4 linked regions of the Drosophila melanogaster genome follow. The gene in region 1 interacts genetically with each later gene. Each region holds a gene or a part of one and is shown on either strand. Other genes may lie near its edges.

Region 1 (7,952 bases):
TTTTGATAAGAGGCCAGCTGTGGCGGTTGAATGTAGTGCACCGTCGGCTTCTGTTGCATGGGAATAGCCGGTGACGGAATAGCCTGTGGTTGCACCGAGATCAACTGGGAAACAGGCACTTGACCTGGGACCTGAACAGGTTGCTGAATGCCACTGTTCGGAATCGAAGTGTTCGAGCGAGTGGACAGCTGCTGCGGTTCGACGCTGTTCGTGGATAGAGCCAGGCTTGTTTCTGAATCAGTGTTAAGCAGGTCATATCTTAGCTGCAGGCGCTGATTCCATTTAACACCATCCTCCTCGTCCTCGGACTCCTCCTCCTCTTCCTCGTCTTCATCGACGTTAGTCGGCAAACTCTCACGTTGCTTTTGCAATGCCAATTTTTCCAAACGAGACTTCTCGTTTTGCAGCTTGATTTGAGTTTGACGCTGGGCACGTTCCTTAAGCAACGACACCACCTGCACTTTTAAAAGCCGAGCTACAGCGCGAGAGTCGTCCTCAGATATAATATTTTCCTTCATCATTTCTTGCGCAATCTGTTCGTACTCGTCATGCCTGATGTTGTACTCAAACTGAATTGCCTCGTTTTCCTTATGACGGGACGAGCGCTTCTTGGGATCCATAAACCGCAGTCGGAACTCGATGATGCTGATGCTCGGATCAGAAAGGAACTGCTCCGAAGCAGTTGGCTCCACTCGTATACCGATATCTTCGTCAAAGAACTCCGATTCTAGCAGTTCATTGCAGCTGGGGCGATCCTCCTTTTTAAGTTCAATGCACCGTTCGATAATGTCGCGCACGTTGGGATCCTCCACCTTAGCCAACGCCGCTGGCTTAATGCCCGATATCACCTTTTTGTAGATCTGTGCAGGACCCTTGCACTCACTGTAAGGATATTCGGAAATGGCCATCTCCAACATGCACATGCCGAATGCATATACGTCCACCGACTCGTCGTAGTGCTCCTCGTACATTTCCGGGGCCATAAACTCCGGCGTACCAATCACAGATTTCGCGTGGGAGCGGTTTTTCAAAGTTGCCAGGCCCAAGTCGCCGATTTTAACACTACCAGTGGTGCCAGTTATAAAAATATTATCACATTTCAAATCACGATGAATTATAGGAAATTGACGAGTATGCAGGAAGTTAAGGCCTTTTAGTATCTGGCGACACCATGACTTCAATACCTTTGGGTGTATTTTTTTGAATCGTTTCAAATAGCTATAAGGAAATAAGAGTTTATGTTTACAATTCGCCCATTAAAATCCATGTTTACGCTTACGATTTCAAAGTTCCAGATAACATTAGTTCGGTGACTAGTACAATATTCTTCTTGCGGCCAATAGGAAACTCCCAATATGTATAAAACCGCACTATGTTTGGGTGCTGAAGTTTCTTCAGCATGTCTGCCTCCTCGCGAAATCTAGTACGTTCACTTTTTTTTACTTGCTTGTCCTGTAAAATAGGTAAATAAAATTGTACATTTTCATGTTACCTAATGATTACTTTAATTGTGATGATCCATTATATAAAAAAGATTACTCAATCAAAAATTCATGATAATTATTATCTATCTGATAACTTGCTTATGCAAGCTTGTGATCATGTTTGCTTTGACTAATAATAATAATACTTATACATATGCCCAATGGCACAACAATAAACTTAAGAAGTTTTTTATCTTACCAATAACTCGCACCAGGCAACTGGAACACCAGTCAACGTGTCCAGGCCACGATAGACAGTTTTAAAGGAACCGCGTCCGACTTCCTTATCGTACTTAAAGAATCGTCCGCACGGCGACATGGCCACCGGATCATCGTCCTCATCGCTCTTACTCTTGGTTATCGATGTAGCTGAAGATGTGGTGGAGACCAGCGACGTGGAGGGCAGGGGAGATGCAGATGCATCTGTCGAGGACCCGGTGACAGCAGCTTCCTCTGCGCTAGCCTCGGAGCTCTCCGCTTTTTTGGTTATGTCGTCGAAGCTCTTTGCCTGCTTTTCGCTCTGAACTTCGGTATCGTCCTTATCCTCTACTTGAAAGCCAACTCGTTTTACGCCGCTTGAGTGCTTGGTAGAAGACTTCAATGGCACATCGTCTTCAGTCTTTTCGATTGTAAGACTCCGTGACGCTTCGGTTATAATGTTGTCGATGATTCCGGCCACATGGTGGGAAGTGGCATCCGTAGCATTGGAGCGCGTAGGCGTGCGGAACTGCTCCTCCAGATGCTCCGCCTCGCGGGAAAGCATCTCGATGTTGTCGTCATAGTCACGAGGAAACTCTGTCTCGAGTTCAACGAACTGCAGTGGATTGGTGTTCCTGCCTGACTGTTCCACATTTTTACGGACGAATCGAATGTTTTGCACGAAGTTCGCCGTCAAAGTCGTTGGCGTGGTCTTTGACGAGTGCAGTGGCGCCTGCTGCTTGATCAATGGCTCGATCACCGTGTCCGAGGAGGACTTTCTGGCCTCCATTTTCTTGGTGTCTGAAACAACCGCTTGCGACGTCCCCTTGACTGACTTGTCTTTTTTAGGTTTGCCCGAAGTAAGACCAGCTTTCTGGTTGCTTATGGCATCTGCAGGTTCTATTTTGCTATCCATTTCGTCCTCATTCTGTTCCCTGCTCTGGTTGTCCTGAGAGCAAAGCACCTCTACATCGGTTGATTGCTGTTTGCCTAAATCGCCGTTGTTGTTATCGTTGACTTTCGGTACGTCGTCCACGTTTTTCGGGCTTGACGCCGTTTTGCCGGGAAGGGTGTTATTTGAAAAGCGTCTTAGCACCCGCACAAATAGGTTACTTTTGCTGGCAGCTGGTGGTGTAGGCGTGGTGTTCAGCGTGGGTAGAGAAGAAGCTGGCTCGATAGGTGATGACTGGATTGAAGTGGTGCTGCTAGTGCTCGTGTGTGCAGAAAGTGTGCCCTGCTTGCAAGTGGGCTTTCTGTTTAGTGTGTCTTTTAGTTTTGATGTCGGGTTCGGCTTTTGCCTAGAGGAGGCAGATCTATTAAACGAACGGTGTCCCGACTTTTGTATATTAGCTCCCTGCACAGTTTGCTCCTCGCTAGAAATTGAGGTATTCCTAAAAGAATGATAGAAGTAGTTGATTAGATTCTATAGACTCACAGGTACAACAGTCGAGTTTTCCACAGTTCTCAGTAAACTTCCTTCCAAGAACATTTTATAAACATTCGATAAACGAAAAAACGGTTTCAGTTTACGTGTTGTTTATCTAGTAAGTTTTGCTTAAAACAGAGACGTTGAAGTAACAATTCCAGTTGAAGCATATTTAAAAATTAGTATCCTAGGGAAACAAATCCTTTGTAGGATACTTGGTCAGTTTAACACACTACATACAAGGATATTTTAAACCAGCTTTTACGTTATTTAGGCATATATGAAACAACGATTGTTACTTCAATCATTTTTTGTTATGTGCCCTGATTTAAATAAAAACAATATTTAAATAAATAGAGATATTCCCTAAATGTTTTGGCAATGACTCCAACTCACCTTTGAGGTTGCGTGGTGCAGGAGGTAGTACCATCTTCGCTGATGGCGCTTCCCTTCCGAGCACGGTTCGCAGGTACGACCTCTTGTTGTCGTACGAAGTCGCAGAGGGTTTGTCCAATTTTGCAAGATTTTTAGCAGCAGACCACCACGTTTAATCTGAAGCGAGAGGCAAGGCGGTGAATGAGTACATGAAGGCATGGAGGAATGGAGCAAAGGTTAAATTCCGGCACTATTGACAGGAGGAACTGGCTTGGACTGGGGCAGAGACATGGGCAGGGGCAGGAGCAGGGAAAGGTGACCATTCCCACACCCACTTATGTTCGTTGCTTGGTGCCGACGTCTGAAATATCGCTTACAGCTGGGTGGAGGAGGTAGTGGCGCCGTCTCCAGGAGGCCGAGGTGTGCGCTTTCCATGAATCACTAGTTTCGATTGCACTACGTTCGTCACTGGCTCTGCCGTTCCACTCTACTCTGTTCTGTTCTGTCGCGAGGGATATGTGCGTATGTGCGGTACGCTGGCTATACATACATATTTATGTACATTTGATTCGGGACAGGAAGCATATGCAGCGACTATGATGTCATGTTTCCACGCCGCTCCTTCCGGAAGTCCTTCGCTCGACGGGATCGTGCTCGAGTTGGGGATTTACGACCGGGACGGGGTCTAGGGCTCGCACTGCGACTGTCGGATCGTTCGCATCGAGGATTTCAATTTGTGATTGTGGTGTTCAAAGGCAATTCGAGCTAGCAAGCTTTCATATTACGGCACGGGGGATTGGTAAGTCTTTCGGGAGATAGTGTCACCTCCACAAGGGGGGTCAATTGGATTGAACGCGTGCGAGAGTCAGCGGAAAATTGAAGTTATTTCGCCAGAAGTTCCCTTTACTTTCACAAAAAATTTTACAAAGCAACTGGGTTTACTTGTGTTCGTGATCTATCGATAGCGCATATTGTTACACAAGTGTTATCGGCGGTGATGCCACCCAAGCTACCAGCTTGCCTAATATATATGTTACGCATTAGCAGAGATGTTACCTGGCCTCTGTTAACTTGAACAGTAGACCGTTACTCTTCGAACGAGTTATAACATTGTTAAGAATACTGTATAACCTTTAAGCATTAAGCCACTTTTTTAAATTTCATTTTGCCTGCCATAATGAAACAGATTACAAACAGATTACAGCTGTAAAAACCACACCTAACAAAGTCTTAATAAATTCCAAACCCTTATACAGGTTTCCCTTATTCAGCAAGAAGATGCTCCTGTCTCTTTTGTTTTGCCCCTAAGGCAAAAAGCCCAGATAGTCTCTTATTTTATATATATAAATATGATTTTCGATAATGTTTTCTTGCAATTCGTTAATTTATTTATTATAACTAACTTCTCTGAATGATTTTTGAGATACATACAAATATATTGTAGAACTTAAATATACATGCACTAATAGTTTATAAGTTATCACTTTAATGAATAGGAAAGCTATAAGTGCACGATATTTTTATACGTGAACAACAAATCAAAATCACTTTTTACAAAACCCTACATTTTACCATTTCCACTAAATTTGCATATTTTGTAATCGCTAGAATAAATTAAATTAAAACAGTTTTTTATTTTATTTTAGTTTAAGAGCAAGATCCTTTACTCTTAATCGTCACACCTGGAATAGAACATGTTGGTTTAAAATATATACAGACAATACATATATTGGGTATGAAACTCTTACTTATATTGAGGCATGACGAATAGCACTGCAGTTGGGTTTCGCCCGTGTACATGTATCCGTCGGATCCACAGATTATTTCATCGTTTTCATCGTACACATTAGCACATATCTTCTCGCAGTAGTTTTCCGTGTCCTTTGGATCGTCAGGAGTAGCTGAACTCGTCACAGTGGGCACCTTTGGAATATCTTGCTGAAATGGGCAAATTTAAAATTAAAAATGTAAGAGCTAAATTCACAGCAAAAAGAATTTGATCTTATTAGGAAAAACTGTTACTGGTATTTGATGAGTCGTATAATTTTTGTAGCTTGAGTTGATAGAATCAACTATTTTTTTAAGTTTATTTTTTCAAAGAAGAGTACTATTTTAAACCCGTAAACGATTTGATCGAAATTAAGTACTCACTAAATCGCGTAAAAATCATTATAAAATGCCTTAAAGGTTGGAAGTGCTTGTTTTTGTGGCCACTTTTTGGCCAACAAATATGCTAGCTTATATAAGCTACTTGCGGTTTTCACATTTATTGAGAAACAGAACCAACCTGCTTTCCACTTTCAGTGTCGGAACTATCCTCTGGGTCATCGGTGTATTCCTTAATGGGCTTGCTGAGTTCAATCTTCGGGGCAGGAGATTTCGCGGGCTCGCGGGGAGCTTGGGCCACGGTTTCGTAGTAGTACTGATTGGCTTGCGGGGCTTGGGTGTACTTCATCGATCCCCTTATGGCATCTTGCTCGGTGAACTCGAATCGCAGAGGCTCCGGGGTAAAGCTCTTGTGGGTCTTGGCGAGGTGCTGGCTCTTCGACGGCGATTGAGTGGTGGTCTGGACCGCCATGGGAGTAGAGACCACATGCTTAACGGCTTTGTTGCCGTCGGACTTGACAACGAAGACATCCTGACCTGCCTGGTAACTGCCGCGAACCACTGCGGAATTCGCAGGAGCGGGATCTTGCTGGTAGAACAAGTCGGACACTTGTATGGGCTCATTGTAACTGGAGGAGACTGAGTTGTCTAGGCCAGCAGTTTTGTAGGGAACATGTTGCTGCAGCGCTTGTTGCTGCTGCGGCTGCTGGTGCTGCGGTTGCTGATGCTGCTGCTGTTGTTGCTGATACAGTTGCTGCTGCTGCTGCTGTCTGTATTGCTGTGGATATTGGTGGAGCAGCTTCTGCTGGTCCCGCTCGGCGTCCAGTTTCTTGAAGTCAGGATCCCTCTTGGGCAGGAAGTACTCGTTGGTGCTCATGAATTGCAGGTAGTCCTGCGCCTCCCTGGACTCCTTTGGTGGTGGCACTGCCTGGCGAAAGTTTACCGCCTGCTTCGCAGGTATATCGGTATCCTCGTAGACAGAGTAGCTATTTGGATCCTGGGGAAACTGGCTGTTTTGGAGAGCAGTTTGCTGGGTAGGGACAACACTGAAACTGGGAGATCCCTGCTGTCCGAAGAGCTTGGGATAGTGCAGGTACTGGGAGGCCTGGACGGGAATCGCATGCTGTTGGATGGGTGCGTACACTGGCTTGGTGTCCTTCATGATCACATTGCCATTGAAGCGCGGCGAGGACTTGAAGTTCTGAATGTACTGCTCGGAGACATACTGGAGTGGGAACTGGTTTTTGCCCACATCTAGCACCGGAGTGTCCTTTACGTGGGCGAATCTGCCCTGCTGACTCTGGTCGAACTGGTACCTCCTGAGCTGGTCGTTCGCAGGAAAGTTCCCGAACTGCTCGCGACGCATGATGTGCTGCGCAGTGGCAGGTTGCGGCGACCGCAAGAACTTGTTGGAGCCACCAGAAAGCATGGCCAGGTTATCCGATCGCGATCTTATCCGGGGCAGTTGTCCGGGACCCGGCGGCCGATTGTGCTTGATATGGTGCTGGGCCAGGGGCTGGTTCTCACTCAGAAACTGCCTTATGCGCGCTTGTCTCATATCATTCTCACCGCACTGCACTTGGTTGATTAGGACCACTATCAGAACTAGGGCCTCCAAAATGGGGGCCAACTTAAGCGGACTCTGAGTCATTTTTAAAGCTCGTCTTCGTTCCACGACGGTCTATTGGTATTTGACATTTGTCAGTTCCGCGGCCAAAAGCAAAAAAGTTTCTTTCGAATTAACCACGCACACATGCGAAGCTTCTTTTCCATTCGACGATCCACGATCGCGCAGACTTGATCTCACTTTCTTTGTTATCCGGCCAGTCGTTTAAATAAAAATGGAACGCCTCGCGGCACTGCAGCCAAATACAATGTGGTGGCCTCGTCTCTGGGCCCAGATGCAGCTATCTATGTATATCTATTTAAAACCGACTTGGTTCGCCATATCAGCTTAAGATGGGCACTTTTTCTAGAGCCTGTGGTTCCAACGCCGCAGCACCGTTAATCAATGGAGGGTCTCGAGCATCCACATCCATCCGATTACTTTCTTCTTGAATTTCGGCGGTGCCGTCGGTTGGAAAGCAACTGAGTGGCAAATGGAACGTTTCTGAACTAGCTGTGCTGGAATTCGGAGTGTCGGAATGGCCACTAAACCAGTTTTGAGATGCTGCCTCTGCTGCCATAGAGGAGCTGCTGTGGATGTGGATGTGGATGTCGATGTCGATGTCGATGTTTTTGGATTTGGATGTGCATGTGGTGTCCACCGAGAGATCCCCGAGAGATCATATCGCGACACGAAGATGGAGCACTCGAGCCTCGGGGCACCGTGACATCGCTCCAGATGCGACAGAACCATTGGC
Region 2 (8,276 bases), on another chromosome or scaffold:
CAGCGAGGATATAGTGACGCCAAAGTACTTGGCCGCCCTGGCCGATGGCGGTGGCCAGTCCATCGGCACGAACGACAGACGCTTGGTCCGCCTGCCGCGAGATGAAATCAGCGATATGCTGGAATTCGAAGAGGACGATGATGACGAAGTGGCGGACGCCGCCTTCAATCCGCAACTGCACAAGTCCGACGATGACGACGACGACGATATAAGCGAGGCCGAGTACGAGCAGGAGCTGCGACGCAAACAGCCGCCCGTCAAGCGTGGACGTGGACGTCCACCGAAGGCGAAAAATGTCAATGCCAATGCCAGCGCGACCAGCGCTGGCAATCTGACTTCCAGCAGCGGCGCCACATCCAAGATATCCATAAATTCGAGCAGCGGCCGCACGGCGTCCACTAGCCTGCAGCAGATGCGTCGCACAATGGCCACGAATATGGCCAAAAGCAATGCCAGCATGACAGACGGATCGAGCACGGGCAAGGGCACTGCGTCCGCCGCGGCCAAACGCAAAATGGACACTAGCGAAAGCGAGAGTCCTGTGCCACGCAAGCGCATAATCATTTCGGGCGGCTCCCAGCAGCGCAGCGGACCGCCTGTGGTGAATGGTGCCAACAGCAAGATGAGCGCGCAGAGAGCGATCACGGCGCGACCGAAGGTGGGCCAGGCGGGCAGTGCGTCAGCCAGGATGCTGCCACAGCGACGCGGCAGCAGTAACAAGATAAACTCATTGTCGAACTCCAATTCGAATTCGATTAGATCCACGCCCGCAACGCGCTCAACTGGCGGTGGTGGTGGCGGCGGCAAGGGTGACGCTAGCAATGATGGGAAAAACGATTCCGAATCGGAGGATATGCCCACATTCACCATTGTAAACATCGATGACATTATCAATCAGGACGATGTGCTCATTTCCAGATCACACACTGCTATGGCCGCTTCCGCAGCTGGCGGTAATTCAATCAAAAAGGTCGCTTTGGGCAGGCCCCGTACCAAGAATATCGGAACCGGCAATTCGGTTGCCGGCGATAAGAAATCCATCACTGTTAACAGCACGCAGAAATCCCTGTCCGCTGCTGTTAACCACAACAATACGACGGCGGGGAATCCAGCCAAGCGCATCAAGATCTTGGCCAGCAACAGTAGTGTCAATACCAAAATGGGACCAGTGCATATCCAGAGTCAACTGCCGAAGCCCCGGCCCAGGATACTCAACGCGGAAATGGGCAAGAAGACGCAGTCGATGAAACCGCTGATGAGCATGGGCAAGGAGCTCTGTCCCACGGACGTCGACACCGAAGAGGACGATCCGGATCCAGATCTCGATTTTGATATCGATAATATACCGGTATCTATTGTTACCCGTAAGAATGCCAATGTCAATGCCAATGCCAAGTCCAAGCAGGTGACGACAACGACGTCGGTGGCGGCGTCGGCGGCGATGACGTCCGCTCCAGCAGCGGTAGCGGTTAACAAGTTGAACAACAATCGGCGCAATGTGCTGTCCACGACAGCGTCGTCGGTGAATGCGCTGATTGCGGACCGGAGGCTGAGCAATCTGCTGGCCGATAACGATGTCCAGCCGGTGTTCAAGAAGCCGAGCCTGGTTCCGCAGCGTCGCAGCAAGGAGAACCAGCAGGAGCAGCAGCGCGACAAGGAGCTGACAACGCTGCGCGAAATATTGCCCACCGGCGGTGGCATCGACGATGCCAACAGTCCCAAATATTTTCCGCCCGAGACCACAACGTTTCACGAGGAGGATGGTCGTGTGGTAAAGAAGATCACCTGCTATGAGACGTGGCATGTGGTTAGCACGGCCAAGGATATGTTGTCGAAGATGGCGCGCCAGCAGCGCACCTGCCTGGAGCTGGCGCTGGTCAAGCTGGCCAATGTGGCGTCACGGATAAAGGTGCCATCGGGCAAATGGACCAGCAAGGTGACGCTGTACAAGGTCTCGCCGTCGATGATGCCCCGCCAGACAATGACCATCTTTACGGGCGATCTCAAGGCGTACAACATACCCGAGGAGGACCGTCACAAGTATCAGCCGTCGTGCGTGCTCTTCCGGCGCGTTGTCGTTGACAAGAACACGTGCCGCGTGCCCTACGATCGGGCCGTCATCTTCAAGAACAAATGCTTCTATGCGAACATCGATGGCAAGCATGTGAATCTGTTGGGTGCCCCCGAGACGGTTGCCACCATCAAGGATGTGGAGATCCTGCTGGATATCGTCGATCGCCTCTCGATCAGCAGCAACATTGTCGAGCTGGTCAACGCTAAGTGAGCGTGGAGGCCTGGTCCATGGTGGCCACAGGAAGAGCACGTATCACATTGTAAAAAATAATTCACACACAGCACTCCCCTCCCCATCCCCATCCCCCTCCCCCATACACATACACAAACAAACAAAGCGGACACTCGATAATTCGTTTTATGCTGTAGTTGTAATAAAACAGATACAAGTTTTTTTTTGTAAAACCATTAACTTAGTTGTAATAGCTAGTGTAGCGTAAATTTATATATATTTATATGTATATATATATATGTATGTATATAAATATATATTAATATATATACACGTATATATAATTATATATTTATATATATGAATATATATATATATATATTTATATAAATTTTTATATATATATATCTCGTATATTATAAACAGCGGACGGACATACATAAATACAAACGGCAGATGTATCTATGTAATATAAACTAAACTAAAGAAAACAATTAATTGTAAAATGCTCGCCCAACTCTCGAAGGGATTGCGAAGTTCCGGGCGGTCGAGGTATATCAATAATGATTTTTATTTTAAATGCGTTGGAATACATAGCCCCCCTCCGCCTTCCCCGCGAGTCCCGCCCCCTTCGAAATCCTTTTTTTTTAAATTGCTATTATCGTAGTCGATTCAATAATATAAAACCGGGCGTACATGTGCCTACGCCCGCGTGGAGGACTAGCCAGTAAGTTAGTCGAGTGTATATCTAAGTGATCCCAATTCAAAGCATACAAATAAAAGAGAAAACTGATTTAAATAACGAGCGCCATTGCGTGATAAATGGCGGGCGGGGTTATCTGGAAATCGGGCAGCTATAAATAAACTGCGGCCAACGCTAGAGATTTTCGTGTGAAAAGCGAAAGAAGATAAGGAACGCAGGCTTCAAGTGGATGGATGGATGAGTTTCCTTGGTCAAGTTTCCATGACAAGGATAAAGACTCTACTTTTAAACAGGACACTCTTCAACTATGCTACATCATTATATGGTAAATTAATACAATTAAGAGTTCAATATAGCTGTAGTTTTAGATTCTACATGTTTTATGTAATAGAAATTGCTATTTTGTTAAATTATAATAAATTTATTGTTTTGAATAAGTATTCAAATTAAACGATATTTATCGATAACTTTGGTATTTAATTTTAAAAGTGTTTGAACTACATTCAAATTGTAAAGCAAATATCGTTAGAGAGAGCATTTCCAATAGAAACTAAATACATTGCAGTTTTTAGTAGTTTTCCATACGCTTTTTCAGAATATTCGTTTGAGAAAATGTTAAGAATGTTCGAATTCGAAAGGGTCTGGCATCGCCGGCAGTGTGACCAACTGCCCGGCGCTTTGGCATTCCGTGCGTGACGAGCGGCTAACACACTGTTTTTTTTTAGTCTCAAAATTCTAACAAATTTATTGATAAACTAGCAATATGCTCGTTTCGCCCTGCCCCCGCTGCGTGCACCGACATTAAAGCGCACCAAATCGTGCTAATGGAGCAATATCAACGCCGTGCAAATCGACGAATTAACAGCCGCCGCTTCCATTGAATCGAAATACCCAGCCCAAAAAAAAGAGAAAGAAAAAGTAAAAGAAACGCGTGCGAGAGCGAGAGGGCTAGAGCGACCAGGGGGAGAAAAGCAAAATCGAGTGAATTTTGTTTGTTGTATCGGCTTTTCCCTGGCTTAATCCCGTTTTCCCTGTGATTTTTCCCCACCAACTTCCCACGCCACCTCCCCACCGCATCCATCGCATTTCGTTTTGATCGCGTTTTATCGCGTCGAGGAGTTTTCCCGTGGATTTCCGCAGTCGGCGCAGCTAAAATGGACGCGGACAGGGGCGGCGGGCAGGAGACGAAGGTGATATACCACATCGACGATGAGACGACGCCGTATCTGGTGAAGATCCCCATTCCATCCGCCCAGGTGACGCTGCGCGATTTCAAGCTGGTGCTGAACAAGCAGAACAACAACTACAAGTACTTCTTCAAGTCAATGGACGCCGATTTCGGTGTGGTCAAAGAGGAAATAGCCGACGACTCCACCATACTGCCCTGCTTCAATGGGCGAGTGGTGTCCTGGCTGGTCTCCGCCGATGGTACCAATCAGTCAGATAACTGCTCCGAGCTGCCAACCAGTGAGTGTGAATTGGGCATGGGTCTGACCAACAGGAAGCTACAGCAGCAACAGCAGCAGCATCAGCAGCAGCAACAACAACAGCAGCAGCAGCACCAGCAACAGCAACAACAACAGCAGCAGCAGGTGCAGCCTGTCCAGCTGGCGCAGCAGCAACAGCAGCAGGTGCTCCATCACCAGAAGATGATGGGCAATCCGCTGCTGCAGCCGCCACCGCTCACATATCAATCGGCATCCGTGCTCTCCAGCGATCTGGACTCGACCAGTCTCTTTGGCACCGAATCCGAATTGACGCTGGACCGCGACATGACCGACTATAGCAGCGTTCAGCGATTGCAGGTGCGCAAGAAGCCGCAGAGGCGCAAAAAACGGGCGCCCAGCATGTCGCGCACCTCCTCGTACAGCTCCATAACCGACTCGACCATGTCCCTAAATATCATTACCGTCTCCATCAACATGGAGGCGGTCAACTTTCTGGGCATATCCATTGTCGGGCAATCGAATCGCGGCGGCGACGGCGGCATCTACGTGGGCAGCATCATGAAAGGCGGCGCAGTGGCACTCGATGGACGCATCGAACCGGGCGACATGATCCTCCAAGTGAACGATGTCAACTTCGAGAACATGACCAACGACGAGGCGGTACGTGTGCTGAGAGAAGTCGTTCAGAAGCCGGGACCCATCAAGCTGGTGGTGGCCAAGTGCTGGGACCCAAATCCCAAGGGCTACTTCACCATTCCGCGCACGGAGCCGGTGCGACCCATCGATCCCGGTGCTTGGGTGGCGCACACTCAGGCCCTCACATCGCACGACAGTATTATTGCCGACATTGCGGAGCCGATTAAGGAGCGTCTGGACCAGAATAACCTCGAGGAGATCGTTAAGGCGATGACGAAGCCGGACAGCGGCCTGGAGATCAGGGATCGCATGTGGCTAAAGATAACGATTCCCAATGCATTTATCGGCGCCGATGCGGTCAATTGGGTGCTGGAGAATGTGGAGGATGTTCAGGATAGGCGGGAGGCGCGAAGGATCGTCTCGGCGATGCTGCGCAGCAATTACATCAAGCATACGGTCAATAAGTTGACCTTCTCGGAGCAGTGCTACTACGTGGTGAACGAGGAGCGCAATCCCAATCTGTTGGGCCGAGGACATCTGCATCCGCACCAGCTGCCGCACGGGCATGGCGGCCATGCGCTTAGCCATGCGGACACCGAGAGCATCACCAGCGACATCGGGCCGCTACCGAACCCGCCCATTTATATGCCATATTCGGCCACGTACAATCCAAGTCACGGCTATCAGCCGATCCAGTACGGCATCGCCGAGCGACACATCTCGTCGGGATCGAGTAGCAGCGATGTGCTGACCAGCAAGGATATCTCGGCGTCGCAGAGCGACATCACCTCGGTGATCCATCAGGCCAACCAGCTGACCATCGCCGCTCATGGCTCTAACAAATCATCCGGCTCCTCCAATCGGGGCGGCGGCGGAGGCGGTGGCGGTGGCGGCAACAATACCAACGATCAGGACGTATCCGTATTTAATTACGTATTGTAGAAACCTTTCTTTTTGCAATCAAATTGTGTTTTTAATTAATTAAATTAAATATGTACGATTATTCTTTTTTATATACGAGTATACAAAGCAAGCAAACAGCAAACCACAATATAATAATTATAATTATAATAATAATAATAATAATAATTATAATAATAATAATAATACTTATGTATATGTATGGTATGTGTAAGTCATAGAAAAGAACGCTAAACACCCAGCCGCAACGAGTCAAGGATCAGCGAGGGCTCGTGAGGCAGCAGGAGGATCAGCACAGGGATATCCGTGTCCGGCAGCAATCGGTTGTGGACCCGATCAGATCAGATCAACTGAGATATATGATATATGATATATATATATATATATATATATATATATATATGGATGATGCGGAGCGGAGCGGAGGAGCAGGAACGGCAGCATGACGGGCGAGAATGATTTTGAATAAAGTTCTAAGAATTTAGTAATCACAAAGTAAATAAATACAAATAAAATGAATAATCGATGGCTTTTCCATATGCATGAGATTGGTTTCTTTAACGCATTTTAGCTGTTTTCAAGTGCAAATCAAATTGCCAAGAAGACTTTTAAAATATTCCTAAAACATATTAGCGTTTGTTCGTAATTTGAGGAATATACATTAAAAAGGAAGTCTAATTTTTGTTAGTTCTTATTTCTTTGTACAGATTAACAATATTTAAACACATACTTTCCATCCTAAAAAGTAAAAGTCTCAACAAGATAATATTGTTCTTCCCCCTAAACCAAACAATGCGCCATCGAGAACAATCCTCGAAGTTGTGTGCACTCGGAGCGGAAACATTCCGGGCATGGGTGTGCACTTAATAAAGAAGAGAATAATGAAACCTATAAATAGAAAATCCATTTCGAGCAGCAAATGTGTTCAAATCAACCGCCCAGCTCGGACACTTTGCAACACTAAGCCCGAAAATCGATAGCAACGAACGTTCGATAACTGTTCGATAAGCACGCCAAAGCAAACTATCGCTTTCATTCCAGAAAGGTCGCGAAACCAATAGGTTCTATTGTGGAAAGAAACGCAAATTTCCAGTTCATTTGGATTGTTTAAATCCGAGAAAACGATGGCAACGGATGTGGAGCCGGCGGCGAATACGGCGGACAAGTTCTCCGCCAACGCGGAGGAGCTAGAGGGCTACTATCTGATGCTGGAGGCGGGAAATATTCCGGAACTGCAATGGCAATTTCCGGGACGCAGGGCTCCATCGCCGGAGGCGGGATCTGGCGGCAATAGCAAGGAACTCGAACAGGCCACCGACGCCATTGAGCAGGAGTAAGAACAAGTGCAGCACCATCCGAAGGTTAACATAACTTATGATTGATTTTCGTGTCCCCGCAGACCGCAGAAGGCCAACGACTTTGATTTCAGCGACGATGTGGCCCCCACCCAGATGCGCGTCCGCAGCCAGACGTCCACGCCCAAGTCGGCCAAAAAGAAGACGGCCAACTTCGCCGGCGTCATGGAGACGCTGAAGAAGAAGAATGCCGAGAGCTCATAGCACCCGCCGAAATTCTGATGCTGATCCGGTCCAGGCAATCGGCTGCAGATCGTACTCTATCGCCATGCGGACTAGTCTATAAGCATCAGTCGTTTTACAACCATCGACAGGATGGGCTGTGGAGCTCTGCTGCAAATCGCATTAATGTAAGGATTTAGAGAGAGTTTGAACTTCAATTTACTTAAGATTTAAATTACCATACTTATAGTTAGCATTTAGAGAGTTTGAAGTTTGAACATCAAAACATAAGCTTATTATGACTTATTAGTCAGCATCTAGAGAGGAAGTTTAAACATCAAAACATAGGCATATTATGACTTAATTACCATATTCATGTGACTAGCTTGTAGCTTAAATTGCAGCAGTCTTTGGAATTCTAAAAAACTTTGTGAACCAACAAGTTGCAACTCAGAGAAGTTTGAACTTCAATTACCATATATGCATAACTAGCTGTTAAGGATGTTAACTCCCATTGCATTGGTCAGTTCTTCATTTTAGACTAAGAACTTGTAATTGAGAAGATAGCATAGAACTAATCAACTTATGTTTAAGCAGAGGGATGTGTATGTGATCCTTAATTAGCACGTGGGAAATTTACGTTCTAAATGTTAATTGTCTTTATTTGATATATTATGACAATATTCTTGATAGTATTGTCCGAAACCGACGTTTGAAGACTAGAATATAGAATATAGGATAGAACGGATGTAAATTTAAATCCAATGCGAGTAAAGCAGATAACAAGATAGGCAACTGTAGATCAG
Region 3 (7,914 bases), on another chromosome or scaffold:
GTAAGTTCATACTGTGAACCTAACTTTTTATATAGTAGATCCATAAAATTAAACTAGAATGGCAAGCATTAACTGGCTTCTTAGATAAAAGTGCAACTAGAAGATTTATTTATTAAAGATAGTTAGTTTTTGGTTTGTTTGTTGTATGCATTAAGGTTTAGCGTGATTTACAAATATTTTAGTTTCACAACAATTAGTCATCGTAATGGGGATTTCATAATAAAGTCATTAAGAAAGCACGCTGCTATAGAAGTTCGTCTCGTTCGGCAGACGAAACGCATTAAAGCGAAATGCAATCGGCGACTGTGAAATCTAAATGGTGATCTAAAATCGAATTTAAATTGATATAGGTAGAAGGCACAGTGGGGTTTTTTCGGGGCTTTTGGGGGTGGGGAATCAATCCGGTGGATCACGTTCTGCTCGGCGCTAATCGCTCAATTTGCCTCACTGCTAGCACGCGGAAATGTGTGGGAGGGCATTCGAAAGCGTTTCAGTCGCAAAAAAAAAAGACGGTGACATGCACTGGGAAAAATGGTAATTGAATTGCATAACATGGTCATTCCATGAAAGCTACATCATTCACATGTTAAATAATATTACGCCTTGAAAGTAACTAGTCCATCTAGTTACTCGCCACTCGTTCTAATCGAACGAGCACAGCTAGTTTACTCTTGTGAAGCACTTCGTTACTACTTGGAATGCTGCCGTGTGAGTGTGATATTGCTGCATATATTTCTGCATTTCCTATAGAGTAATCATTGAAAATAATTCAAAATATCATTTGCCAGTGCATTGAATGCGGGCACAGTGAGGCAATGCTAATTAAATTTCGCTAGTCGGGGCACGGCGCCCTCAGTCTTAATTTGTTTGCATGCTCGGTCGAGCGGAAAAACAACAACAAATTGGCATAATGATCTTGTACGATCAGCGGAAACATGATGATGATCACCAGCATCGCCACGATCTGAACTGAACTGACTGACTGACATGCGGACTTGTTCCTCCTCCGTCGTTCGCTCGTTCGTTCAATTGCTATTTTGACTTTGAACTTGCGTCGCTCTGTAATTTACAATTTCTGCACCAAAGGAGAAGGCTTGCCCCAATCCGCACTATAGTACAATCCCGTACACCATTTCCTACCCACTCATGTGACGTTCAGAGATTTAAATTTAGCCACAATGACCACCAGGGAAAGAACGAAACTATCACTGGGCTCCACGCTTAATATGGAACGAAATTTCAATTGCGATTGCTATTTTTAGGCATTGTCAACGCGCCGTCTCGGCTTTACGATTTATGTACATATATCTCTCATCTTTTGCATATCGAGGGGCGGCAACATTAAGCCCCGCGATTGTGCGACTTGTGGCAAGGTTACTTCATATGAGATCTCCATACTGAACTAGGTACACAAGCAATTCCAACTTCAACTTATTGATTTTGAAACAAGAAGGCTTAATTCTTAATTGCTTGAATTGATGTTGGGTTGTCTTTACAAAATTTCTCAAAAGATCGCTGCACATTTTTGACACGCTTAATTTGTTTTTTATTTAAACAAAACCTTGCTGTCTCTGGCAATAAAACAAAAGAGCAATTAACGCGGCTCATTTAGTTTTAGTTTTGAATAATAATGCGCGACAATTATGTTTGTCATATGACTTCCGAATACATTAACTTCCTGCATTTGCGCAGCTTTTTGAACTCAATGAACTGAAATACCCTCGAGCTCGACAAAATGTTTTGCGTACAAGAATATTGATTTATTTACTGCTGTTTTTTTATTTTTAATTTCTTGCGAAAAAATGACTTGCGAGTGCAAAAGTCCCAAACGTCCTTGCCTTGAGAAATCGACCGACTGAGCAGAAATCACATGAGATGTTGACCAGCAAATTGAACCGAGCATGTGAGCATTGATTTCGCTGATGGGCGATGGCACATGGCACATATTTTGAATTTTTTTTAAGAAATATACTATGCGCATTTGTTTATACAAATGTATAGAGTTTCACGAACAACGCGTCGATCTGCAATATACTTTTAAAAATATATCTTTCATGGGATTTTATAGTATTAGACTTTTTAAAGCAAGTTTGTTCATTAAATGTATCTCGATTGCTTAGAAAACATTTTACTAGTACAAGACTATAAAGAAAATATGCATTTTAATAATATTTTTCTATAGCTGGTTGTATACAAATATACAAAAGTATATCCACTGTAGTTTTTAGTATACTAAATAGGTTCGTTTCGGTTCATTCATCATAGCTGGCCCCCAGCTCGTGGTCATTAATGAGTTTTCCTCATTTTGATGTCACCGACGTCACGCAAGTGAAAAATTTCACAGAGTTTATGACCAACGCCTAGTATTAGTATTGTGAGTAGTATATCTACATATGTATGTAGAAAGCGAAATATTTGGGGCTCAGGAATATGGGGTTCAACCTTTGGCCCACCCACACACGTGTCGAATGGCATTGGGCGCTAATTAAATCGCTGGTTTTTTCGGCTTCTTTTTTTTTTGCGCTCTTCGAGTGTCAAAACTTTTTGAGGGCGTTCGATCACTTGACTCGAATCGCCGGTGCGCATAAAAAGTAACCCAGCGTACAATTATAGATATATTTACGATTTTGCACAGCCTGACAGATTTCACACATTTCGATACACAAGCTCTGTTGGCTTGGATACAACAAATTCCCTTGTTAAAAATAAGATTAAAGCAAAAAGTAGGAAAATAAGGCAGCACACTTTGACTATAAACAAGAATTTAAAAATACACATCCCATAAGCCGTATGCAAATTGCTAAAATAATAATAACATCAAACTTGCGCATGTCTTTGTCGATGAAGAAGAATTACCTGGGTACAGTGCTGCTAAAAACCAGGGTAAACATGGTTGAAAGACGTCTATAAGAAAAGAGAGGTCTTACCAAAGACAGTCCTCTTGAGGATAGAAAGAGATACGTTGTATCTCCAAGATATGAAGAATCTACATTTATAGATCTATGAATATCCTAGTACTTACTTGTAAAAAGCAACTTTTACTCACAATTCGCGACACAAGGACTTCCTGTTAATTATAAAAGTTGGTGATATGTTGTTTTTCTATTTCGTATCAAACGAAATTTGTAGAACCCGCTAGAACGGAACTAGGAACAATTGCCTATGCAAATTCCCGAAAATCCCCTGCCGAAGGTATTTAAATTTTAAGTGGAAGCCAAGGCAATCACTCATGCATGTTAGTTATCAGCTGGGCTTTGGCCATAAAGCCCGGCAAATCCGAGCTTACGTCAACCGACATACGTAGATACATAGATACACCTGGTGTTACAGATACAGATAGAGATACAAAGACACCGATGGGGATACAGAGGCGGATACTAACTACTACTAACTAACGCCAACGCGCGTTGATGGAGGCGGCAAAATTTCGCACATTTCGTACGTTTATTTCGTCGATCGGCAACGGCGTTTTTACTATAGTATATAGTATCGCCTGTCGTCGTGTTCCGCCATTTGTAGAGCTCATTTAATTTTATTGTTGTTTATTGCTAAACGAAACGAAAGCAATGGATGGAAAGGGGAGGGGGTGGAAAAAACAGTTCATTTTAAATGTTTGATTACAACGATTTGTGAAGTTCAGTCGAATTTGTGATTTTCGCGCTGGAGGAGCGGCCCATTCAGCGATCGCGAGCAATGCGATTTGGCGAACTGCAATCGGATCGAATCCCAATCGCAGTTCCGTTGATAACTCAACTCAGTCATTCTCGAGTGTCGCGTGTGATCGAATCTACATCTGTGGCTAAAGATCTTGGCTTAAAAGCAATTTACAGCCAGAACTAAAATCATTTCAGAACTTGAGAAAAAAAAATAGTGACAACCAGACAAAATGCAGTTGCTGAATTTAGTGTGCCTCAAGCAAAGTGGGTTGAAATTTTTGAAAAATCCAACTATATAAATCACGATTACGACACTCAACTTTTCAGCAAATCACAAGCACAAACTAATTTGAAATTCATGTTATCGCCGAAAGTTATTTTCCACATTTGTCATTTATAATCCAAAAATACTGTATGTGCGTGTATTCACGTATCCTTATGCAAATAGCTAAATAAATGATACCTATTTGATAGATAGGAGTGTGAATTTTAAATGCGAATTTGGCAAACCAACTTAAATTGCCAAAACTGAATTCGGTCAGGGGAATCCCCGTTATACTGCTTGTGATTTATATCCAGTCGGGTTCGGGATAATTAAATAATTATTAAAAAATAATTGCCACAAAAAGCTTATAAACATGTCACAACGAAATTTATAATTTACTCAGCAAAAACGACTTTATTAGGATTTATTTGGCTTCCAAAGCAAAAACACTTACTGAGCAAAGAGAGTTGAGGATTCACAAAATACATAGATCAGGGGATTTTCCAAATTTTGTCAGTATATGCAGTATTATAGTATATCCTGTGAAAAGTTCTTAAATTTGTTGATCATTTGGAACCAACAGCGAGAACCAAAACACGAAAAGATCGAAATGAGTATGCGCTATATGAATTCATCAATGCCAGTACAAATACTATATTCCCAAATCAGAACAGCAACTAAATGCAAAAACCAGGAATCAATTACTCTTCTTCCACATGACGTGCTGAAAAGTCGCTGGCATCGGCCAAATTAAAAATCTAATCTAAACAAACAGTCACTTTGGGCACTTGGCACGGCTCAGTACTCATAGCCGCGCACTCATCTACTCAACTAACGGATACATACATAGTATAGATATAGTATCTAGTCATTTGTATTTCATTCTTGCGCGCGATTGCAGTGCGAACTGTGTCAACAATTAATGCGAAGCGATATTGCAACTGCAATTCAAAGTTCAAGCAACTCGTTAATGTGTCAATATTGAAATTACAAATGTCGTTAAATTCATTTCCATCGAGACGTTTTATAAATACACTCACGTGTATTTTTGTAATTTATCTGATTCTTCTATATTAAGGCTGTCGCATATTTGCAAAACGCAACAGAGTGCAATAAACGGAAAATGTGTTAAGCGAATGAGATATTTATGCGTATTCATTTACCTGAGCTAATGAGAGGATCCATTAGCTGGATTGTGAGGTGATTAGGTAACTGAATCACGCTGATTCTTAAATTGCCAACTTTAGTACACCTAAATTATAATTATATGTGTGGAAAATTTCGTTAATTGTTTTGAATGAAACAATTTATAGTTAATTACTACCATTAACAGAAGTAACACAAGCTATACGAAAACTCAATTGAAAATCGCAGTATTACATTAAATTTATTTAAAAAATAAAAGAGTTACCAAATACTTTACCAATGCTCAGAGCCACTCTAAGTATTACCAAACAACTTTGAATGTGGTAACCAAACCTTTTGCAAATTCTTGAACACAATTTTGTTTAAGATTAGAATAGAGTATATTTCGAATCTTTCTCTTGAGCTGCTTTCCATTTTCCGATCCATTTGGATTCATACGCACCCAAAAACCTGCCTCTTTCCGCACGGCGAGACACTTTGCCATGGCCGAACTGCATTGGAAATTATATGCAAATAGCCAACGAGACGGAGACGTTCTAAAAATAAATAGACCACGCAAAAATCAGTATCAGTATTGTGTGTGTGCGCGCGCGAATATCTTATTTTTATAAGTCTTCAGTCTTCGTTCTTCGACCATGGCGCATTTTTATGCAGAGCAGAACAGAATTTAGCGCTATGGCCAAATGCAAACTGACGATCCCATAATCAACCTATAGATACATTTGTATCTATCTAGATGTCCGCCTGGGTTTTATGGATGGGCTGTTGTGGATGCAATTTATGAATTTTCCATGATGACTGTGCGGGCTTCCCCCCACAAATTAACCCCCTTTCCAGTATGTTAACCCAGTTATCTTGCCCAGCAAGATAACGGAATGGAAAAAGAGTAAAAGCGAGAGAGAGTGAGATACTGGATTCCACTTTTGTATCTGGGTGCGGTATGGAAAGCACATACATATGTCTGCTGTATCTATGCTCCACTTTTTGGGACTCTGGGTCTTTATTGTTGCTAATTGTTCTCGCTTGTTGTTATTATTGCCGCTGGAAACTTTTTAACTTATCGTGCGCGTCAGAGCTGATAAAATCCGAGTACACGAGGCGCAGGGAAAATTGGTGGGGGCAAACAAAAGAAAAACCTTACAAATTGTGCAATTGCCAGTGGGTCAGCATCGCCTAAACATCGTGCAAATAACATGGAATGTAGAAAAAAGTAGTTTCTATATTTTTGAACTATTATTCCAATTTATTTTTACCAGAAACAAAATTGAGGTTCATATTTAGCATTTTGAAATTACAGTTTTTATTCAATTTTTTTTTTTATCGAAACAATTTTTTATCGCTAATAACAGATAGTTTTCATCTATGACGCCCACTGTGCGGCTCTTAACCCGCTCTCACTGGCGCTCTCTACCTCTCTGCTTCCTCATTCTCAACCAGCACCCCCGCCCCACCGCCCTTCTTTTCTGTTGTTGATATTTACTCAATAAATTTATTTTTGTATATTTCTAGTTTCAGCTTTCCACACTAGCATAATACCCTTCAGTCGTTTGGCTTATGCATATTTCAAAGTACTAACCCCCATATTCGTGGAGATCTTGATTTAAGAATCTATATAAGACATTTAAATCCGCAGAATTCTGGAAAGCAAAGCTTTAAGACGAAATTATTTAGTGGTAGGGTATCCGATGCTCGCATAATACAACTTTCTGTGCTTTTCTCTCATATTCATGTTGTTTTTGCCACAAGCCGTTGTTACGACGTCGACGTCGCCTGCGCTGCTATTGGCTTTGCCATTGCGTTTGTTGTTCTGCTTTTGTGCGCTCATTTGTTGCGCGGCTTTTGAAGCGATCGCTACGCCGAAAAAACGACACTAGTCGCAGTCGCGCCGGCGTGTGGAGCAGAATACAAAAAAAAAGTAGCAGCAACGAGAATCGTGTAATTATTTCTTCAGCATTTGGCGTAAATTGTTTTGATTTCCTTGCCGAGAAATCAATAAAGCCCTAAATGAAAATTTATTGAACTTCCAAACGTGTGCGTGTGTGTGTGTGTGTGTAAAGTCGTGTGACAATGCTTATCAGTTGCACATGATCGTGTGTCTCTCCCGCGTTCTCTTCTCTCTCTCTCTTTCTCCAACTACTCTTGGTATTGATTAATTGTGAAATTTGTCTGCATAAATAAAATCATTTACTCACACTTTCCAGTTAAATTCATATTTGTCATTGATTTAAGCTTAAATTTGAGTTTTGTTTAAACGCTTTTTGTTTAGATCTTCATAGTTTTCTGTTTTTGTTTTGAGTTTTTGACTTGTCATCGAGTTTTCAAATTCCAAAATCGACGTTTTGTTTTAAATCTTCAATCACTGTCATAAGAAAAGTATTCAAGTGTATCTGTGAAAATTAGCTTAACTTAGCTTTCTCTTCTACCATTTTAAAATGGTTTTCTGCTTAAATTAGCTTTCTTAATTTTATTTTTGGTTGCCAAGTGTTTTTAAAGGCCATTTCCTGTCTCCCCCCGCTTCGCATTTTGTTTGTTGTGTAAACATTTAGATATTTTTTGTTTTCCTGCGGCGTTATTCTTTATTTGAATTGGCCTAAGTGTTAAATTGCGAAATTCGCCAAGTATGTTGTTGGTCCAAAAAGTTAGTTGGTTTAATTAAGTGGCACATGACACGTCCGATAACTGGAAACGCGTTTTCTTTATCGCTGCTGTCACAGTTATCGAATTGCTCTTGTTCTTCTTACCGTTTTTAACCGCAAGCTTATCGTGTTCGGGTTTTTCGATGTAATCAAAATGAAGGAGGCAAATAAAGGAAAGCTGAAATTGTAAACATTTAGTTGAAAACTTAAT
Region 4 (7,654 bases), about 18 Mb from region 1:
AAGCCTAAAAAAGGTAGCCACAGAAAATCGAACATGCCACCAACAGTTTTCCGAAAGACCTGTCCCAAAAACCCAACCAACCGACCAACAAAAATAACTGAAAACGGAGCCAACAAATTACCCTGAAATTTTCAGTGATCATAGAAAACGAGCACTGGGAGAAATTCTTTCTTTACAAGCTATCTATCTTCACCTATTTAATTATTTTCTAACTCTTTAAGGGCACATATATTTTCTCGGTGCATTTTCAACTATGAAGAGAGAGTTTCTTTTGGTCATCCCTTCCATCTTATCGCCGCGATCGGTATCTGCTTGGAGATGCCCAGCACATAAATCTGCCACCAAAATGGGCAGATCCAGAGGGAGAGGCCGAAGAAACCAAACCCAGAACCCAAACCCAAAAACCAGCGACTGCGACAGGTTGCAGCTCAATAAAGATCCAAATAAATATAATATCGCTGGTCTATGAGTCGAACAATGGGAGATATGAGAAGGATGTGTTCATTTAGGGTTCGCGGGTTCCAGTTCCATTTACCTGCCCGGGTTTCAACCTGTTCGAGGGCCAATTCGAAGGCGGTCGAAATCAAATGGCCAAGGCTTTTGTAAACGGGTGACATTTAAGAATTATGGCATGTAAATGGAAGGCATTCCCGGAACGGCGATGCGATGACAGCATCTCTTTCAGAAACCCCAGCCATCGGATTATTTTTTGATCGGGGGGCTACTGTTAATCAATTTAGAGCCTCGAGGGTCGAGCTATTTTTATTTCTTTCCAAAGTCAGATGCGGTCCAGGATAAGCAAAAGGCTGCGCTTCGATGTGCTGATTAATGGGCGATAGTCAAAGGTATTAGGGAAAGTATACAGATATGATTTTAATTAAGACATTTCGCTTTTAGTTTTGATCCAAATGAAGATCTTAATATGCACTATATGGCAATTGTATGAAAAAGTAGCAAAATTGCATGTTAACTGGATCATTTTATCGGTTTAATGTGTAATCTTATTGTAGTATTTCTTCTAGGCGCTCTATTTCCTTTAATTCCCAGTTTTCAGAGCGCTTTTTTTGCAGCATCCCACGGGGCGTATGCGTGTTAAAGCTACCAGCTGCTGTCGGACTTTTGGCTGCCTTTTGATAAATGCACCGCTATTAAAGTGCCGCCTTTGTAATGCGGAAACATCAAAGTGCACTTACACACACGCACTGCAAGGCAAACATTTGCATTCACACACACACAGGCACACACTGACAGAAAGCCATAAAAATCACTTTGTAGCCATGGAGGCGGTGCATCAGCGCAAACTATGCAACAACAACAGCGAGAAAAAGTGCAATGCAATCAATTCAAAGGGGCGAAAGGAGAGCGGAAAATTCAGCGTGAGGGGGAAATGGGGGTGTGAAATTACACTTGAAAAAATATGACCAACTTGCTGACGAAATGGAAATTAAACAACAAATGACAATACCCTAAAGCAGTTTGCAGGTTTTATGACAGATATTTCTATAAATGGTTAACTTTAAGCTTGAAGCTTTTATTTAAGTATAGAACAGTTTAAAGATATATTAATTTTTTTCCAGTGCAGTGACAGGAGAACGAGAGCCAGCAGGCAGCAGCATTTAATCCTGCAAAAAAGGCATTGCGAGGCACCATAAAATGATGTTAATCCTTAAATAACGTGAGCAAAGCAAAAAGCGGAGAAAAAGTGGTAAAAAAAACGGGGGCAGGCAGAAGGATTGGCGAAGGAGGAGGCGGTGGGGGCCACTCGACTGGATGATGGCGACAGCCAAATGCCAATTGAATGCCAAGCGGCTTTAAGAGACAGCCCACGATCAAAGAGACAGTGAATGAAAAATGGTGCAAAGTAATGGTTAAAGTGCTCGAAATGGAAATCCTCAAGGGGATCGGTGTTGCACATAAAGCTTAAACTCAGGCTTAAATCAAAGTATAAAGGGGACAAAGGAAACTGGAGTAACTTGAAGAGTTATTTAGCACCAAGGAATCATTAATAATAGTACTTTCTTTAAAAGTATTAATATAAAAGCAATATATTGTTATTGTTGTTATATTATTATTGTTAAAGCCATGCAATTTAATTTTATGTTAAATAAAATAAAATGTTTTTAACTTTAAACCTTTTTTTCTTTGAGTCAGTCTGCTGCGCTATCATGTTTGGCATGCCATCACAAACAGCCAACAGAAATAAAAAATATATAACCGAAAAGACAGCAGCATCCACTGGCATCAACTCACTTCCCCTCCATCAAGCGGTTTGACCCCAAAAAGTCAAGTGCGGCGGAGCTCGAGTTCCGTTTTCCCTCTCCCTTACTTCCTCCCTCGATATTCGGGTTTTCCTGGACTTTTACTCACTCAGGCAGCAAAAAAGTCAGCAGGAAAAGCAGAAATGACAGTAACATCAGTTGAAGTCACGGTGAAAATTATAGTAACAACAATATACTTACTTGAAAAAGCAAAAGTGGCAGTAACAACAGCAATATTATTGAAAGGCACAACAATTCAAGGAGAATCTTAAGTGGAAATATCCTGAGTAAAAGCAAAAGAGTTAGAAGCAACATCTGTTCCAGTAAACGCAGCAGCATGACAACTGTTACAACTGCAACAGGAGCAACATTGGTAGCTTTTCTAGGCAAAAGTAACCACAACAGTGAAATCTTTTCTAGGAAAAGCTGCTACAACAGATACTGCTTTATAAAGAACAAAAGATACAGTAACAGCAGCCACACGAGTCTCAAAAACAGCAGCAACAACATCGAAAGCACCAGCAATATGACAGAAATTCCTTCGAGTAACAGCCATATCAGTAGAAATGGCAACATCGTCACCAGAGCAACACCCACCCAATTCGCGGCACGATTTCACTCCGAGTTTCGACTCGATTCAAGTGGCCAAGTTGGCACGCGCCGGCGCACTCAATTGGTGCACAGGCGGCGCGGACTGGGAAAGCACTCAAAATGGGGGACACCACTGCGGAACTCGTTATGCGGGGCGCAAAGGGGCGTGGCCAGGCGGGCCAATCACCACCATTCCCGTTGCGCCGACGACAGATGTGCGCTCAAAAACCAGTTGAGCGAGTTCTCGAGTCGAGTTTCGAATGGGACTGACTGGTGGTTGTGGTTGTGCGTACGGCTGGTTCATCATCATACCTGTGGTGGTGGCGGGCATGCCATGAGCATATGGAAACCGGGCGTGAGCCGAGCCAGTTGAGCACCACCACCAGATCCCTGAGCTCGAACCCCGAGCGCCGGCAGTTAACGCAGTGGCCTCGAAGCTGTAACAACATCTCGCGTCCGCTCGATCCGCTCGATCCGCTCCGCTCCGTCACGAGAAAAGCGAGAAGCGCTCAGAGTATCTGCAGTGAAACGTGTTATCGTGATAAGGTTCTACGAGTATTCCATGCCATAAGGTGTCGCACATTATATTATTGAAATCGAAACGCAACATTCGCCGTCGGCTAAGAAAGTGAACTGTTATCGAATGTGCTAATCAAAAACAAAAAAAATGTTGCAAGCGCCTGCAAATTGATTTCTATCTCGGATATGCGAATTTACACTGGTTATTAATAGATCTGGTTTAAGAATACGATTATATAAGCATCCTATGCAGACGGCGGCTTCCGTGGGACGCTTGACAAACTGATCAAGTCGTCGTCTTTATCATCTATATCTCCTCATACTGGCTGCGATCGGGCTCGATATCGATTCCCAGGCTAAAGCTGGCGACAGATTTTCGAGCAAGATACTTGGATTAACAACCGCCAAAATTGTGGAGGCAATTAAAATGAAGGTGAGTCTCGATTGCTTTATAAAAAGATAGATTGAGTTGTAAAAAATCAACTTTATTGCTATTGGAAAGAGGAAAGTTATCAGTCTGTGTATTATAAATTTCTACATTTTTGAATAAAGTTAGTCTTTAATATTCTCTATTAAATTAGACTGTAAGTGTTGCATGTTCCACCCGTATTGCTCGGCGTTTGAGCGGTCTGTTTGCACACCCCCTCAAAATGAAGTTTCTGCTTTCCTTTTTAATTGCTGGACATAAAGTCCAGTAGACCCCGAGTGACCCACAAATCAGTTTTTTATGTAAAGTTTCCTAGCCCGCTGCGAGCATATTGGGCCAGAAAACGCAACAGGCGGCGTTTGCTCGACCATTGGGAGTAAAAAAAGAAGTGAGCCGGAGTTAAGACAAAAACCGGAGCAAAACAGTTTCAATTCAATTCGAAAAAGCCAGCACACTAATAGCGGCTGGAAAACGATGAGTTTTCAAAAATATGGAGACGACACAGGGCGGTGAATATGAAAAGCACACAAATCGCACAGTGGGGTTCCTCCCATCGAAAACACTCAGCGAATAAGCCACAGATCGCAGCCCACACTTTTGGGTATTACTCGAATATTGGCTGTGAAATGAAGGCTGATATTCGGATGTATCTGCAACCAAACCCCAAAAATCATATTCAACTTGGCCTTTTTTTTTTTTTGTTTTGTATCTTTTCAAGACATTGCATTGATCGTGTCGCCTAGATGATGTTGCTCAATCCCTTGTTCATTCAACAACACATATTTTTTGGTTTTTGAATTTCGAATTTGATTTTGACTTTGATTTTATTTCATACCCAGTCCGAAAACGTTTAATCGATTTTTACACCCGCTGTGCGACGGGCTTTTTTTGTTGTGTGTGTGAACCACCCACAGGATTTTCGAAAAATATTTGCCATGAGTCTGCAGAGAATCGATCATGATTTATGCTCGCCGATGATCGATTTACCATGGCTTTGTTCGACGAGCATAATTTTCATTACCATAGCAAATTGGACAAGGTGCTGACGCTTATTGCTCTGCGATATAATTTTAATCGCCCGATTTTATTTAGCTAGATTTCTATACGCACCACGGTCATAGGGGGAAAAATCAGATCAGCGGGGGATCCGCTTACAATTCGAAGTCCAGAACTCAAATGTCAACAGTTCTGAGGTGCCGTCGATGGTCAAGGGGCATGGGGGATTCTCGGCGAGAGACCTTTTCTTGACATCATCGATCTTGACCCGGCCCAGATGTTGGTGGATCCCCCCCCTTCCACATGTCGCCGCCCCGCTTTATCATCCAAATCCAAATCCGAAAATGACGCCACTAGGCGCTGCCTTATGAATATTCAACAAAGTATGGAGATGGAGTCTTTTTTTCCCTGCTCTTAGGTAGTCAGTCGGAGAAAGAGATATAAAAAAGGCATAAATATTTAAGCGCTTAAATGTCGAATGCCTGCGAAGCAGCTATAAAAAACGTATATACATATTTCAATAATCGATTTTTCATTAATAATTCACAAGAAAATTGAAAGATTGGAAAAAACTAAACCTCCCATAAATAGATACACCAAAAATGTTTTGTGTAAGAAGTCGTTGACGCCTCCATCTGCGGTTCGAAAAAGTTTTCTTTAATTGGCAATTGGGTATTTGAAGGCGAACTAAAAATACAGAGTGATTACAGAGATTTTAGGATTTGACTTTCTATATCTCCATCTACTTATTAGCTTTGAGTGTTTGACAAAACACCTTTTGAGGATTACACGCCTAACTCCATTGTCCCATAATCCCGCACAAGAAACCAAAAAAAGGAGCGCGTGCCGATGGCCAAGATTTTCCTACTTACCAAAAGGATGTTTTGCAAAACCAGCTGCCTGGCCAGCGGTCAGCAGATTTTTCAGCAAGCCCCCTAATAATTGGATTCCCAAACAAAGGACATTCTGAAGAGTGTCCTGTGACCACTGGTCGAAAATGCCTAATTGTCAACGCTGACAAGAAGTCTACGCCTCGGTTCTTGTCTCCTTGGGAAAACAATGGGCAAACGGAAAATGCATCTTGACTTGAGCCAATTGCCCCGATCAGGGACAAAGAGAAACAAATATCACACCTTTGTTTTGGGCCTCGAATCCATATATGTAGTATGTACATACCTATTGACAATAGATGCCAGAGTTCCTGGTCAGTTTTCAGTCGGGTTGCGCATGCGAATTGCAGGAAGAGATCGCTGGGTAGATGTGTCAAAATCGCAGCAGCATTTTTAGCAGGTAAATGCGAGAAGTCCTCTTCGAATGAACATCGAATGCAGGAGGCACAAGAGGTCCTCACAAAACCGCACAATGGAAGGCGAGTCGAGTGTCTTGCCATTGTTCGTTCGAGTGCATCCACAAAATAGTCCTTAAAGGACGCTTAGTTGGCCTACAAATGATGCATGGCCCTTGGGCCTGTAAAATTGTAAAATGCCACAAATCATTGCCACTCCTGTCTGCCGGCAACTCAAAAAAAAAAAAAAAAAAAGAAATCAAGGAAGATAGAGACCCAAACCCGCCCCTGGAATTTACGAGCCAACCCCTAAATGCAAACCATTCGATTTCGATTTCTGGCAAAAAATTCCAATAAATAAAATAAATGTCCTTTTGCCAGTTTGTCGCCTGAAAATATTCGCATTTAATTGCTTGACAATTGTAAATTGGCCAAAAAGGAATCGTTTTCGTATTACAAACTGTAGTTCGCATACTATATAAGTTATCCCACATTTTCAAAAGAACTTGATTTTAAATAAAATGTATAACACTTTCTAATATACATATGTATCGCTACAAATATGCCACTTGATTCGTTCTTGCCACTTTGTCATCAAAAAAAATTTGTTTTTAATTGCCTGACAATTGCAAATTGAGCCGATAGAGAATTTCAATATCATTTTATCGATGGCATCTACGAACAGTAGCCAAAGTGATTAGTTTTAGGGAAGCGAAACTAGTTTAGAACCTCTTTGCCGTTTGAAACTCACCGCTAAAATCATTCAAAGTCACCCAAATAAATTATCGGCTAGAACTTTGGCGGTGGCCCACAAAAAACAACTCCGGTCTTGATTTATTGGCCCACAAAAAAAGGGGGGACAGAAATACAATGGCCGAAAGCTGGAAACTGAAATATGAAAATATTATATGTGTAATTTATGCAAAATGCAGATTTAGCTAATTAATTGTGGCCAATGCTCAATAAAAAATAAGAAATCAAACACGAAATCCCCCTAAAAACTCCGCACAAAGATGAGCTGTAGTAAAAAAAAAAAAGACAGACGACGACTCGAAATCAATAAAAGCCCAACTTATTGATGTTTAGTGGCTGTGACATGTTGACGAAAAGACAAAAGCATTTGGGATTTTCGGTTTCGGATTCACTCGATGCTCGAGTCTCCAACTTTATGATGAATGCCTTAAAAATGCCAAAAAAAAAGATACATATTCAAAATAAAAAGCACGAAACAAATACAAGAGAACGCGAAAAACGCGTGTCGAAATCGTTTGAGATATTTGCGGGCGATTTATTAAGAGAACTTCGGCACGGCGATTTTCTCTCTCCCAGACTTTGAGTTTTGAGCTCTATTTGCACAACTGCCGCCCGCTAAATTTATGCAAAAAGAAAAAGAACAACATTATTGTGGCAAAATAAAAAACGAAATAATCTTAATTGATAAAAAAATGGCAAGCGAAATGTTTGCCGTTCTTCCAATTGCGAGGGTGGCTACACCCATAAGCTTTGAATTTCCAGCTTGATGCAAATGTTTTATTGAAATTTATTGCCCAACAAATTGCATAGCCACAGGGCGCTCTA

What was found.
Region 2: of Wnk (region 1) and dsh, changing one suppresses a phenotype caused by changing the other (phenotypic suppression), as found in Drosophila melanogaster (one study listed by BioGRID).
Region 3: of Wnk (region 1) and fray, changing one suppresses a phenotype caused by changing the other (phenotypic suppression), as found in Drosophila melanogaster (2 studies listed by BioGRID).
Region 4: of Wnk (region 1) and Awh, changing one suppresses a phenotype caused by changing the other (phenotypic suppression), as found in Drosophila melanogaster (one study listed by BioGRID).

What each region holds. Positions count from the first base shown.
Region 1 is NT_037436.4:21,550,521-21,558,472, forward strand, and holds the start of Wnk (Wnk kinase), read right to left. Parts: upstream 4,409-7,952; 5' UTR 4,034-4,408; exon of another isoform or gene 3,861-4,033; intron 3,661-3,860; 5' UTR 3,624-3,660; coding exon of another isoform or gene 3,505-3,623; intron 3,074-3,504; coding exon of another isoform or gene 2,599-3,073; coding exon 1,684-2,598; intron 1,453-1,683; coding exon 1,280-1,452; intron 1,219-1,279; coding exon 1-1,218. Other genes in the region: CG7173 (uncharacterized protein), read right to left, coding at 5,131-5,165, 5,232-5,421, 5,771-7,240. UniProt on the Drosophila melanogaster protein: Serine/threonine-protein kinase component of the WNK-SPAK/OSR1 kinase cascade, which plays an important role in the regulation of electrolyte homeostasis and regulatory volume increase in response to hyperosmotic stress.
Region 2 is NC_004354.4:11,352,252-11,360,527, forward strand, and holds dsh (dishevelled), read left to right. Parts: upstream 1-3,629; 5' UTR 3,630-4,102; coding exon 4,103-5,974; 3' UTR 5,975-6,473; downstream 6,474-8,276. Other genes in the region: CG1737 (uncharacterized protein), read left to right, coding at 1-2,284; Pa1 (PTIP associated 1), read left to right, coding at 7,078-7,286, 7,353-7,512.
Region 3 is NT_033777.3:18,577,585-18,585,498, forward strand, and holds the start of fray (frayed), read left to right. Parts: upstream 1-3,631; 5' UTR 3,632-3,886; coding exon 3,887-3,920; intron 3,921-4,694; exon of another isoform or gene 4,695-4,770; intron 4,771-4,999; exon of another isoform or gene 5,000-5,121; intron 5,122-6,888; exon of another isoform or gene 6,889-7,002; intron 7,003-7,914.
Region 4 is NT_037436.4:3,842,947-3,850,600, forward strand, and holds the start of Awh (arrowhead), read left to right. Parts: upstream 1-3,259; 5' UTR 3,260-3,795; coding exon 3,796-3,801; intron 3,802-7,654. UniProt on the Drosophila melanogaster protein: Probable transcription factor. Required for the establishment of a subset of imaginal tissues: the abdominal histoblasts and the salivary gland imaginal rings.